2 linked regions of the Arabidopsis thaliana genome follow. The protein of the gene in region 2 interacts with the protein of the main gene of each other region in a pairwise test. Each region holds a gene or a part of one and is shown on either strand. Other genes may lie near its edges.

What was found.
Region 1: the proteins of SHI (region 2) and PHV interact in binary tests that used the Arabidopsis thaliana proteins (3 or more experiments, as listed by UniProt).

What each region holds. Positions count from the first base shown.
Region 1 is NC_003070.9:10,795,611-10,803,035, reverse strand, and holds PHV (Homeobox-leucine zipper family protein / lipid-binding START domain-containing protein), read left to right. Parts: upstream 1-1,942; 5' UTR 1,943-2,291; coding exon 2,292-2,512; intron 2,513-3,023; coding exon 3,024-3,183; intron 3,184-3,313; coding exon 3,314-3,429; intron 3,430-3,510; coding exon 3,511-3,601; intron 3,602-3,696; coding exon 3,697-3,792; intron 3,793-3,878; coding exon 3,879-3,992; intron 3,993-4,068; coding exon 4,069-4,152; intron 4,153-4,230; coding exon 4,231-4,386; intron 4,387-4,472; coding exon 4,473-4,547; intron 4,548-4,621; coding exon 4,622-4,728; intron 4,729-4,800; coding exon 4,801-4,990; intron 4,991-5,082; coding exon 5,083-5,271; intron 5,272-5,354; coding exon 5,355-5,435; intron 5,436-5,521; coding exon 5,522-5,662; intron 5,663-5,750; coding exon 5,751-6,040; intron 6,041-6,138; coding exon 6,139-6,256; intron 6,257-6,339; coding exon 6,340-6,489; intron 6,490-6,561; coding exon 6,562-6,708; 3' UTR 6,709-6,912; downstream 6,913-7,425. UniProt on the Arabidopsis thaliana protein: Probable transcription factor involved in the determination of adaxial-abaxial polarity in ovule primordium. Specifies adaxial leaf fates. Binds to the DNA sequence 5'-GTAAT[GC]ATTAC-3'.
Region 2 is NC_003076.8:26,502,587-26,508,529, reverse strand, and holds SHI (Lateral root primordium (LRP) protein-like protein), read left to right. Parts: upstream 1-1,720; 5' UTR 1,721-2,386; coding exon 2,387-3,008; intron 3,009-3,442; coding exon 3,443-3,784; coding exon of another isoform or gene 3,785-3,816; exon of another isoform or gene 3,817-4,012; coding exon of another isoform or gene 4,013-4,029; exon of another isoform or gene 4,030-4,589; intron 4,590-5,191; exon of another isoform or gene 5,192-5,242; coding exon 5,243-5,274; 3' UTR 5,275-5,376; downstream 5,377-5,943. Other genes in the region: AT5G66340 (uncharacterized protein), read right to left, coding at 5,377-5,488, 5,632-5,765. UniProt on the Arabidopsis thaliana protein: Transcription activator that binds DNA on 5'-ACTCTAC-3' and promotes auxin homeostasis-regulating gene expression (e.g. YUC genes), as well as genes affecting stamen development, cell expansion and timing of flowering.

The sequences.
Region 1 (7,425 bases), on a different chromosome or scaffold from region 2:
CATATTTAGACTTGTAGCAACTATCAACAAGTCGGACACAACAAACGTTCATGCAAGCGTAAAGCAGTGCCAAAACCACCCAAGAAACCTCAAAGACGACCAAGGAAAAAACAGAAAACAATGGATGAAGAGAACCCTATCACTCAGCCAATACAATCTTCTCTTCAAAGTTAATGCTTGACAAGTCTTTACTTTAGAATATCTTGTCCCTCTGAAACGATTGTTTTTTTTGTGACAAATATTGTTGTGTTGCAACAGCTTCGATAGTTATGTTGGTTGGATTTATTTAAGTATGACTCTTTGGATTATTTTAAGTTGTTGTGTCTTTCTTTCAGCTTCTAAAATCCAAACTAATTAAGCAATTCAAAATCATTTAGAACGTTTTTTTGTAATAAATTCAAAATAGTTTTAAAGAACATCATGTGGTTTTTGCGCTAAATACAAATGTCTCGTTGTTTTTTTTTTTAGAAATTAATATCCCATTAATAATTAATTACTGTGGAGTTAAGTTTATTAACAGGTTTTAGTTCAGGGTTTGTTTTACTAAAAACATAGTTTAGGGTTTAAAATGGATCTGGCCAAAGTTAAGGGTTTTTTTCATTAAATTCCCTAATTTATATTCAAAACTTTCAAAACAAGTTAAAGGAAATAAAACCAATTAAGGTTAACCAAAAAAAACAACAGATTTCACGCATCTCACGCGCATAGTGACATTGTACATACTTGTCATGCATCGTCTCTTCCACATGGATACAAAAGATAGGCATACAACAACACCATCATCATGAAAATATGTACATGCACATACATACATACATACAACGTCTTAGGACTAGAGAGCAAAGAGGGTAGGGAAAATTTGATGCTATGTTTGGGTAGGCCACTGTCACAGAGCTTAAAGAGAAGTGCTTTCTTTCCCTAAGTTAGCAAATTACCCCATTTTGTCAAAATTCCGTTTCTTCTGACAACAACACTTACGTTTTACGAATATAAATAGTTGTAGCATGATTTATTTTTGTTACCAATAGATAAACATATTTATTCTTATCGATTGCCATTAGGACTAGGGATTCTGATAATAATTGATATGTCTTAAAATTTGCAGAGACAACAACTTTGCGTGTTGGTTTTCTCATCTGTTTGTGTTTAGCCTTAGTCTGAAATCTGAATGCATTTAAGTTTTTCAAAACTAATCACTTTCAATCCTTTTTAATTGTCAACATCTACTTGTCCTTTTAATCTAATCCAAGAATATTGAATACAGAAACATGTTTACACAAAGAAAATTAGGTGGTAATGATATGAATTAGAGAAGTGTAATCAAGATTCCATCTCATATTAAACCTATTTAAAAGAGTTGTAAGAAAAAATAATAAAACAAGTAATTATTTACTTATAACTATGCATCAAATATTACGAAACTTTTAAAATGAATTGTTAATCTAATTCAATCAATATTATAATTATCTATTTAACTAATAATATTTATATGGTGGCAACCAAAGAATATATATGGGTCCAACTGGTAATTTAGATGAATTGTAAAATTTTTCGGAATAGTTGCAAACTATAAAAAAGAGTTGTACGAGAAAGTTGTATAATAAAATTGAGAATAAAACTTTTTATAACGTTTTTGATAAAGATTTTATAAATGATAACTGTCAAAGTTGTACAAACTCTACCGCTTTGATAATGAGTTATCAAAGACATAAACTTTTATCCTAGTTAATCATTTTAACTTTTAGAATTTAAGCTTTGAATTAAAATTCAAGCTTAGCTTTGTATAAGAAAAAGTTTAAATATTTTTACTTTGCCTTAACAGTAAAAAGCTTTTAACCAAAAACATTGAATTCAACCTACTCTCCCAAAAATTTCACCTTTAATTTTTTTTGAAAACAATATTTACCAGTTTAGTGCATCTTGTTGGGTTGTTCCTTGTCCTTTCTCTCTCAGAAAGATCTTTACTTTTACTTTTTCAGTATTTTCCTCTCTCTTCTCTCTCTTCTCTCTCTTCTCTCTACTTAGCTGCCTCGCTTTTGCTCCTTTTACCTCTTTCCATCTTTCAATCTCCTTTGAGAGAGAGAGCAAATGAAAAAAACCCAAAAAACTCTTTTCTCCAACCATTACCATCTCATGAACACTCTCACAGGAGGCTCTCTCTTCTCAGAGAGCCTACCCATCTAATATTTCTTCATCTGAGTCTCTTTTACTTCTCTCAAAGTATCGATCTTTATTCTTCTTTTTGTAAACCCTCTCTCTCTCTCTGATTTCTACTGACCTGTTTGGAAGATATGATGGCTCATCACTCCATGGACGATAGAGACTCTCCTGATAAAGGATTTGATTCCGGCAAGTACGTTAGATACACGCCGGAACAAGTTGAAGCTCTTGAGAGAGTTTATGCTGAGTGTCCTAAACCTAGCTCTCTGAGAAGACAACAGCTTATTCGTGAATGTCCCATTCTCTGTAACATCGAGCCTCGACAGATCAAAGTTTGGTTCCAGAATCGCAGGTTATTATTTCTTTATTAATTGTCTTTAATGGAATGTTTTTTGTGTTCTTTGATTGTTTCTGTAATTATAAAATTGAATTTCTTTTGTTTGTATTTGGAGACAAAAATGTTCTTGTCTGACAATGTTTTTGGTAATCTTCTTGTTTTTGGTCTAATTGGTGATTGTTAAGCTTTTGAAACTTTCAGATCTATGTCTATAAATTTGTTTTTCTCTTTTTGCTTATTAGGCTTTTGTTGACACAGTTGAAAGTTAAAATCACAAGGAAAAGTGACAGCTAATCAAACTGTCTTTGATGAGCTTTAAAACGCCTCTCTCTTTTTTTCCTTCTGCAGAGAATATGTTGGAAATTACATTATCTTTTGTTCTTTATGTCATTCTGGTATCATTCTAAAGCAAAAAAGTGTGTGTTTCTTCTGTTCATTTTTCTATTATTTCAACACATTTATCATACTGCTATAGGTTTGTCTTTAACTTTTCTGGTTTCTTTTGGTTGTTTTGTTGACTTTTTAGATGTCGAGAGAAGCAGAGGAAAGAGTCAGCTCGTCTTCAGACAGTGAACAGGAAGCTGAGTGCTATGAACAAGCTTTTGATGGAAGAGAATGATCGTTTGCAGAAGCAAGTCTCCAACTTGGTTTATGAGAATGGATTCATGAAACATCGAATCCACACTGTAAGTCCTTGAATCCCTTTTGCTAAATGCATTGTTGAGTTGTTATCTTTGATGCTTGTATATGTATTTGTTCTTTAAGAGTTCTCTGTTGTTAGAGAGTGACTGGTGAAATCTCTGTGTTGTGTCTTAGGCTTCTGGGACGACCACAGACAACAGCTGTGAGTCTGTGGTCGTGAGTGGTCAGCAACGTCAGCAGCAAAACCCAACACATCAGCATCCTCAGCGTGATGTTAACAACCCAGCTAAGTAAGGAAGGCTCTTTTTTTGTTTGTGAATTTCTCATTGTGACATTATGAGAAGAGACTAAATGGAGTGTTTTTTTGGTAGTCTTCTCTCGATTGCGGAGGAGACCTTGGCGGAGTTCCTTTGCAAGGCTACAGGAACTGCTGTCGACTGGGTCCAGATGATTGGGATGAAGGTAGATAAGTTGAAGTATTTTAACGTTTTCATATGTGGAAATGAAGTGGTTTTTAGAAAATGTTTTAATATGTATTTTCATGGTTATGTATGTAGCCTGGTCCGGATTCTATTGGTATCGTAGCTGTTTCACGCAACTGCAGTGGAATAGCAGCACGTGCCTGTGGCCTCGTGAGTTTAGAACCCATGAAGGTAATGGTGTTTTCTTTTTATTTTAATCTTGTGTTGTAAGAAGCGGAAATTCTACGAAGGCAATCTAAACTTCAAATACTGTGTAGGTCGCTGAAATCCTCAAAGATCGTCCATCTTGGTTCCGTGACTGTCGATGTGTCGAGACTCTGAATGTTATACCCACTGGAAATGGTGGTACTATCGAGCTTGTCAACACTCAGGTCTGTTTCATAAATCCATGAGTGTTGTTTTTGTTCCTTTAAAATGTAATGATCATTATTCATGGTTGGTTATCAGATTTATGCTCCTACAACATTAGCAGCAGCTCGTGACTTTTGGACGCTGAGATATAGTACAAGTCTAGAAGATGGAAGCTATGTGGTGGGTATTAGGACCTGGTTTTGTTCATCTATGATTCTATTTATTAGATTTGCCTTATATTTGCTTTTTTGCCTTCAGGTCTGTGAGAGATCACTCACTTCTGCAACTGGTGGCCCCAATGGTCCACTTTCTTCAAGCTTCGTGAGAGCCAAAATGCTGTCAAGCGGGTTTCTTATCCGTCCTTGTGATGGTGGTGGTTCCATTATTCACATCGTTGATCATGTGGACTTGGATGTAAGCATATTGGATTTGTAATAGCACATTAGGTTTCGTAAAAGCCTTCTATTTATGTTGATTGATACGTTTTTTTGGTTTGGTAGGTCTCAAGTGTTCCTGAAGTCCTCAGGCCTCTTTATGAGTCTTCCAAAATCCTTGCTCAAAAAATGACTGTCGCTGTAAGTTCCATATAAACCTTATCCACCCGTGACCTGATTAGGCTCTCTTTATGAGTTTTACTTCCACATTTCAGGCTCTGAGACATGTGCGCCAAATTGCTCAAGAGACTAGTGGAGAAGTCCAGTATAGTGGTGGACGCCAGCCTGCAGTTTTAAGGACTTTCAGCCAGAGACTCTGCCGGTAATACATTTCCTTGATAAGCTTAGTTTTATTTTCTAAAGCATTGTTCTAATTGCTTTTCTTGAAATTCAGGGGTTTCAATGATGCTGTAAATGGTTTTGTCGATGATGGATGGTCTCCAATGAGTAGTGATGGAGGAGAGGATATTACGATCATGATTAACTCTTCCTCTGCTAAATTTGCTGGCTCCCAATACGGTAGCTCATTTCTTCCAAGTTTTGGAAGTGGTGTCCTCTGTGCCAAAGCTTCTATGCTGTTGCAGGTGCCTATATCATGTTTTGACACTTGTGAATAGACAAAAGAACCGGTTTCTTCAATTTCTGACATCATTCTCTTTTTTATCTGCTCTTGAAGAATGTTCCACCCCTTGTATTGATTCGGTTCCTGAGAGAACACCGAGCTGAATGGGCAGACTATGGTGTCGATGCCTATTCTGCTGCATCTCTCAGAGCAACTCCATATGCTGTTCCATGCGTCAGAACCGGTGGGTTCCCGAGTAACCAAGTCATTCTTCCTCTCGCACAGACACTCGAACATGAAGAGGTACAAAGAATCTCAAGAACATTTTCCTTGTTGTCTATTCTTTTGCCATGCCTATAATCCTATTTTGCTTACTTGTTTCTCAGTTTCTCGAAGTGGTTAGACTTGGAGGTCATGCTTACTCACCTGAAGACATGGGCTTATCCCGGGATATGTATTTACTGCAGGTTTGCTTTATACTAAAGACACTCAGGGATTCTTAAAGATGAGTTATTGAAATTGAATTCTTGGTTTCTTTTTTGCTTTTGTCCAGCTTTGTAGCGGCGTTGATGAAAATGTGGTTGGAGGTTGTGCTCAGCTTGTCTTTGCCCCAATCGATGAATCATTTGCTGATGATGCACCTTTGCTTCCTTCTGGTTTCCGTGTCATACCACTCGACCAAAAAACAAATCCGGTAAAAAGAAAACTGTTTATGATAAGAAATTTGATATCTTGAAATTGACACAGTCCTTTTTCTTTTATTCCTGTATGTAACGTTACAGAATGATCATCAATCTGCAAGTCGAACACGGGATCTAGCATCGTCCCTAGATGGTTCCACCAAAACCGATTCGGAAACAAACTCTAGATTGGTCTTAACAATAGCCTTCCAGTTCACGTTTGATAACCATTCCAGAGACAATGTTGCTACAATGGCGAGACAGTATGTGAGGAACGTTGTTGGTTCGATTCAGAGAGTGGCTCTAGCCATTACGCCTCGTCCTGGCTCAATGCAACTTCCCACTTCCCCTGAAGCTCTCACTCTTGTCCGTTGGATCACCCGTAGTTACAGGTACTCTTCTTAGAACCTTAATCTAAAGACTTGTAACAATATAGAATGTGCTTATCTCATTTAATAACTCAATAAAATGTTTTTCTCCGATGTTTTAGTATTCATACAGGTGCAGATCTGTTTGGAGCTGATTCTCAGTCCTGTGGAGGAGACACATTGCTTAAGCAACTCTGGGACCATAGTGATGCCATATTGTGCTGCTCCCTGAAAACTAATGTAAGAATTCTGTTTTTTTAAGAGGTGCTCAATCTAGTTTATGGTTCGGTTTGGGAATTGTCTGATTATTTTTTGGTTCTCAGGCCTCACCGGTATTCACATTTGCAAACCAAGCTGGTTTAGACATGCTTGAAACTACACTTGTGGCACTTCAGGATATAATGCTCGACAAAACACTTGATGACTCTGGTCGTAGAGCTCTTTGCTCCGAGTTCGCCAAGATCATGCAGCAGGTTAAACATTTTCTAGCTAGTCTTTTAAGTCTTTCCCTGGAAAATACTAAGTTTGGATTGAATCTTCTTCAGGGATATGCGAATCTTCCGGCAGGAATATGTGTGTCGAGCATGGGCAGACCGGTTTCGTATGAGCAAGCGACGGTGTGGAAAGTTGTTGATGACAACGAATCAAACCACTGCTTGGCTTTTACCCTCGTTAGTTGGTCGTTTGTTTGATGAAGGAAAAGGTTGGTTATGTTAGATATTAAAAGTTAGGGGATGTTGTTTTTGGCTAAGGTTTGTTGAATTAGAGAGTCCATAACTCTATATGTAATATGGAAAAATTCTGATGATAATCTCTTTAATCAATTATGACATTATGTATGGCAAGATATTTATTTTTATTTATGTTTTGGACTTGTTTCGTTTTTCTTCATCTTCCTTTTACGAAATTTGATATATATATATATATATATATATATATATATATATATATATAGATAGATATAAGATGAATTATTATTAGTAATCTTATAAGTTTTTATCATGTGTTAATGTACAAATATAAACACAAAGATTGGCCTCAAAAGCATGTCGAATAAACTAAATTAATCATCATAGTTTTTGGCAAAAAACGTTTAATGGACTTGGTAGCTCATATGTAACATGAAAAATGTATGCGGAGTTTAGGTTGTATGCATAAATAATAATCATCCAAAAGATTAGATTTGAATGAATCTTTGACATTAAATGATCAATAATCATTACTAGTATTTATCTATTAAATTGAAATAGTATCTATCACAAGAAAACTAGTCATGATGATGCTGTTCTTTGACTTCTAGGCTGGAGGAACCTATAAACTTTTCTTTTGGGTAGTCTAGTTAGTAATGGAAGTTGATAAATAGCTTTTCTTTTGGACAGAAACCTACAAAACTCTTATGGAAGTTTTAT
Region 2 (5,943 bases):
ACACTCTTCTCTTTCTGCCTATGTAAGAAAAATATATATTAAGAAGTGATTTTCTCTTTATTGGTAATAATGTGTAATTGTGTACAAGTGATATTTAGAAGCCAACAAACACTATGCTCCAAACTTACTTTTCTTTATTCTCTAGTTTATAAAGTTCTTTCCACATTTCCATGTTTTCTTATTGATAATGGGCATAACATACATTCTAAATCTCCAAAAGATGGTACCGGGGTCAAGTAGAATGGTAGATGACTAGATGCGTTTGAAGTGCAGATATTTGGCAGAAAAGGTAGTGGAAACAATTTCAACGTTTTTAGAAAAATTGCTAGGACATGAAATGGAAGGTTAAATAGTTAAGAAAATGTTAGTAACTTTACCTAAATTTGTATAAATTATGACACTGAAAACTTAAAGAAAAGAAGAACACAGTGCTCGAGAAGATACTTTAAACCTTTTCTTTTGGAAAAAAAAGACTATTCTATTTGTACTAATTTCAAGATTCAAACTCCAAAATAAAAGAAATTTAATAGTTTTGGCTCATGGTGAGTCTTTCATTATGCGAGTTTGTTGCTATTTGCAAAGATAATCGATGTTACCAATACATTTGGAATTTATGGATTTGTAATTTAGTTATATACAAGAATAAAATCCGAGAGAATGTCACTGTCCCTTTTGCCCACTCCCTCTCTTAATTTCTCGGTCCTAAATGATTGCATATATTCATCGAACTCTATCCCCAATTTTCTTCTCCTCTATTTCAGTCACTCATAATTTTTGCATTCAACAAAGTACAAACCCTCACATACATTAAGATTGTCATAACAAGAAAACCATTAAAACATCCAAATTGATTTCTGAAATTTACAGCTTCTAGATCAAATTTAAAGTTGTCTTTTATACTCTATTTCATAGATACACATTAACATTGTTTACAATACGGTGAAGAGGTTGGATAGATGATTTTGCTGATTGTTTATGTCAACAATAACTTTCATCCATTTCATAAATACATGTATTTTTTACAACCTCACTTTCATTAAATGTATTCTCTCTTTTACACAACAGTGGGTATTTCCACTAGGAAATGACTATAGTGCCCCTCTTCTTATTAGTCAACTCTCCATATCCTTTTGGAAAAATCCATGAACTATCTTCAGTTTTTTACTTTGTCTGTAGTTTGATATTCTGAAACAACTGAAATTCGTTAAAATTTGGAATGATTAATTGGTCAATTAAATTAAGATTCATGGGGTATAGGTATACGGGACAATTGATATACATCAGTGTATGTATTGTATACATAATTAAATATTTTAATACTATCAGGTGTTCATTATTAAAGTTTGTATATATAATGATAAAAATAACAGAGTAGTAATTTGCTTCCTTGGAAACATGGATAAGCAACTGTTTTCCAGCTGCGAACTTTAGGCACTTAATTTTAAAGTCACAGGTATACACTACGCAACCAAAGCAAGATTTCGCTAATAATAATTAAAATTGCATCGAATCTAACTAAAGAATCTAAAAATACAAGTATACCCAGTCCCCAACGTTGTGTAGGACGATATATGATTATAAAGTTTTAGTTTAGATATTACATAACTATAGATTTCTCATAAATAAAGAAATCTTCCGTTCATTTCACTAAAATATCGTTCGAACAAATAATACACAGATTAATATCTAAACGTAAATCATATAAACAAATAGTGTAGGATTTAATTATAGTAGCATTTTGGCAAACACAAACAGACAAACAAAGGAAGAGGCAGCGTGTTTTCCGGTAGAGAAAAGACGGAGAGAGTAAAAGCCGAAGTTGTAAACGTGGCAACATATTGACCGCAGGATCTAAAACACGTGATGATCAACGGTAAGATATATCTTGTCCGAGAAGTGTTTTGTGATATTAATTGGTGTAAGGAAAATCTGGAAAACAAACAAAAAAGAAAAGAGAGACAGAGAATTTAATAAGAGAGGAAGAGTATTAAGGTGATGGCGGCGTTGCAGAGCGCGAGACAGAGAAAGAAACCTCTCTGAGATACATCTCTCTCTCTCTCTCTATCCCCTCTTAAATACACTCCATACCGACAAACCAACTTTTTTCTCAGTACTAAAAGAAACCTCTATTCGATTTCTAAACAAACCCTAGATATAGACTACTCTACATTCTTCCATTAAGTTAATCTCTTTCGTCTTCTTCTTCTTCATCCTCTCATAATTAAAGATCTCTATCAAGAGAGAGATCTTTTATTGTCTTCTTCTGTTAAAATCTTTTGATAGATCTTCACTCTCTGAAAGTCAAGATCTTAGTCTAGGCAAGTAAATATGTGGTAAAGCAAAGCCCTTCTTGAAATTGGTCATATATGGCTGGTGGTATCGGAAAATGGCAGGATTTTTCTCGTTAGGACACGGCGGAGGAGGAAACACTCCAGACAACCACAGAACAAACACTAATAATCCTTCTTCATCGGGAACAGAATCTTGGCTTTGGTGCAGAAACCCTAACTCTAACGCTGACGGTGGAGAAGCTGGTCCTTCTTACAAAGGAACCCTTGAGCTATGGCAACACCCAAACAATCAAGAAATCATTTTCCAGCAGCAGCAGCAACAGCAACAAAGGCTGGATCTTTACACTTCCGCTGCGGGTTTAGGTGTTGGACCGAGCAACCGGAGCTTAATTGAAACTTCCGGCGGTGCGTTGATGATGATGAGAAGCGGTAGCGGTAGCGGCGGACCAAGCTGCCAGGATTGTGGGAATCAATCTAAGAAAGACTGCTCTCACATGAGATGTAGGACTTGCTGCAAGAGCCGTGGCCTTGACTGTCCCACTCACGTGAAGAGCACGTGGGTTCCTGCCGCTAAACGCCGAGAACGCCAGCAGCAGCTTTCTACCGGTCAGCAACCGCAGCAACTGGGAGGGAGCGTCCCTAAACGACAGAGAGAGCGTATCCCGGCGAGATCGACTTCCATGGCCTACACTCGTATACCTTCTAACAACACTTCAGGTATTTCATAATATCTCTTTATGGTTATTCACCCCTGAATGAAAATTAAAGTAATGAGCTTTGAATAACTTGAGTTATTAGTTTCAATTGCAGAAACAGAAACCCTATTTTGATCAGCTTTTTTTGTTCTTCTTTTTTCATTTTCAAGAAAAAAAAAAGGTGAACGATTTTCTTCTTCCTATTTTTTTTTTTTAATATGGAAATACTGTAGATCAGTAAGACTGACTCTTGGAATGACAGGAAGAAACTGTTCTCACTGATCTTGATATTTGTGTTTATATCCTGTAATTATTAAGTTTTTGTTTATTTGTTTGTTAATGCTGTAATTATTAATTTGAGTTAAGATAAAAACAAACAAACAAATCATACGTTGAAAATACTCCTACGATTTTTTCTTATAATTAACAATAATTAATTAAATGTTTTCTATCTAGGGTTGGAGGTTGGGAATTTTCCGCCGGAAGTTAGCTCGTCGGCAGTTTTTCGGTGCGTGCGTGTGAGTTCCGTAGATGATGAAGAAGAAGAGTATGCATATAAAACAGCTGTGAGTATAGGCGGTCACGTCTTCAAAGGTGTTCTCTACGATCAAGGCCCGGCCGAGAGAAGCTCCTCGGGCGGTGGATCTCAGCCGTTGAATCTCATAACCGCAGGCCCATCGGCCTCATCATCAAGCCCAAACGTGAGCTGCAACAATGGAGTCGTTGGCTCCACTTCAGATCATTATATCGATCCTGCCTCACTTAATTATCCTACTCCCATTAACACTTTCATGACTGGTACGCACTTCTTCTCCAACTCAAGATCTTGAATTCCACACAGAGAGAGTACAACAAATCATAACTTTTTTTTAGATTCTTACGGTAGAATTAGGGTTTTAAAACATCTTCGGAGGTGAAGATTATAACGTACTAATCTTGGTTTTCAAAAGTAATTAACTAAGGGAGATAATGTTCTATTAAAACAATTGTTACCTGATCTTTTATTATTAAGTTCAAATTTTGTAGGTATAATGTTAATGTAATAGTATACTCCAATTTTCAACTGTTACAAAAGTCAACGACCCTGTCTCTGTGAAAGCTCACATCAAAAGCAAGATTTGCAGCTGGCAGTTTTCAACTGTGATCGTTAAACTCAGCCTTGTTTTATTGTCAGCTTTTCACATTACTCTTTTTTTAGGTTTACTTTAACATTAATTTACCTTTCAAATTACTACTTTAGGTCAATTAATTGCAATTATGATTTGCCTGTAGAAATATTAATGTGAAAAACAAGGTTACAAAATTGAAATTTGGGTGAAGACATGTATTTAGGTGTCTTGTGCTTTTGGTCAACAAATCAGACACACTAGCACAGGTATATCGTTCGTCTACGACTACTATATATCCGGCAATATGCCATACCCTAATCTTAAGTTTTATTCAGTTTGAGCCGTTTTTAAAGTGATGCTCTCATTCCTATGATTGATATAATGTCAGTACACTTACATTTGAAGAGAGACTTACTGCCACATCCGACTCTTTACATTATTTTTTATATATATATATCCTGATAGCCAGTTTCTCCATATTTCTATCTTACATAGTTTTCACATCGTACGTTACGGTGTATTTTTTAGCCACATCTGAAGGGGCTTTACTATACAAATCTCAAATGCAATCCCCAAAATCTGACAAGCAGTGAGACTGTATGTGTATTTTGATTCTTTTGTTACAACGAGTGAGGCTGTAAATTCGGCAGATTATGAGTGAGTGGGGGAACAGAAAAAGGTGTAAAATTGGTATGCATCTTTATTTCTGCAGGTGTTTATGTTTGGACCTAAAAAAACTCTTCTTTCCCAATTCATTTCTTAGGCTCTCTTTTTCATTATTCAATTTACGTCACCTCAAGAAAGCCATGATGATAACGAGATGCAAAAAGAATCGGAAAACGAGCTAACATTATAATAACTCATTAGGATTAAAATTTAATTAAGTGTTGCATGGAGTTGTGAAGACTTGTAAAAAAGATGCACACAAATCATGCATTTTGTGATTTACATTTATATCATTCTATAATTGAATTGGTCCCATTAAACCTTAAACAGCTAATCCCACCTTGCTTATGCTGATTTGTCCCCGATTATTTCCTCCGTACTACTCGCACCATGTCTTCGAAATTTCTCTTTTGGAAAACCTAAGTTGCTTTTTATTTTCTTGGTCAAGCAAGACTCAAGAGTTTGATGTTGTTGCACGTAGAAAGGATCTTGAAGACGGATGTCGGATGGTGATAAAAGCAGCAACTTTAAACTCCGAACGCAAGTGGGGCCTTAGGAAATTTCACTGTGAACCAATAAGAGAGTAACACGTCTGAGGGACAATTTGCAATTCCATCATTGCATTTCAAGGGGACAAAACAGAAGCCTCAGGTCCACAGCATCAAGCTTTCCAAACCGAATTTTTAATTTGAGTGTCGCAGGCTCGCTGCATAAAGAGAAGACGACACTGTAGTCCTCAGTGACCAAATAATGAAGTAGCCCAAAACTAAGCCATGCTGTTGCTGGGTAAAACAAAACTACTAAGCCCTAGAGGTATGGGCCTCTGTTTTTCTCTCTCCATGAGACTCACGAGCAAATCACATAACTAACTTTGGATACATTCGACTCTGTTCCTGATCCACTCTTCTCTCCCCTGTTTGTCTTTCTCCATTATCTCTTCTTCCGGAGACTGGAAAGATGGCATTGGGCAACAAACGCACTTCGTCGACGATTTCAATAGTAATCTGGATAAGCATAAATCACAGCTTAGAGGAAAATAGAAGGTCAGAGAAGAGAGTATCGTGATCGATGTAAGCACTAGTTTCTGCTTTGTAATTGTGCATCTTTCTAACTATTATAGGGATGGTCTTTGAGTTCAAGATTAACAAAGAAACAGTGAGACAATTATTCGTTAAGAACAAC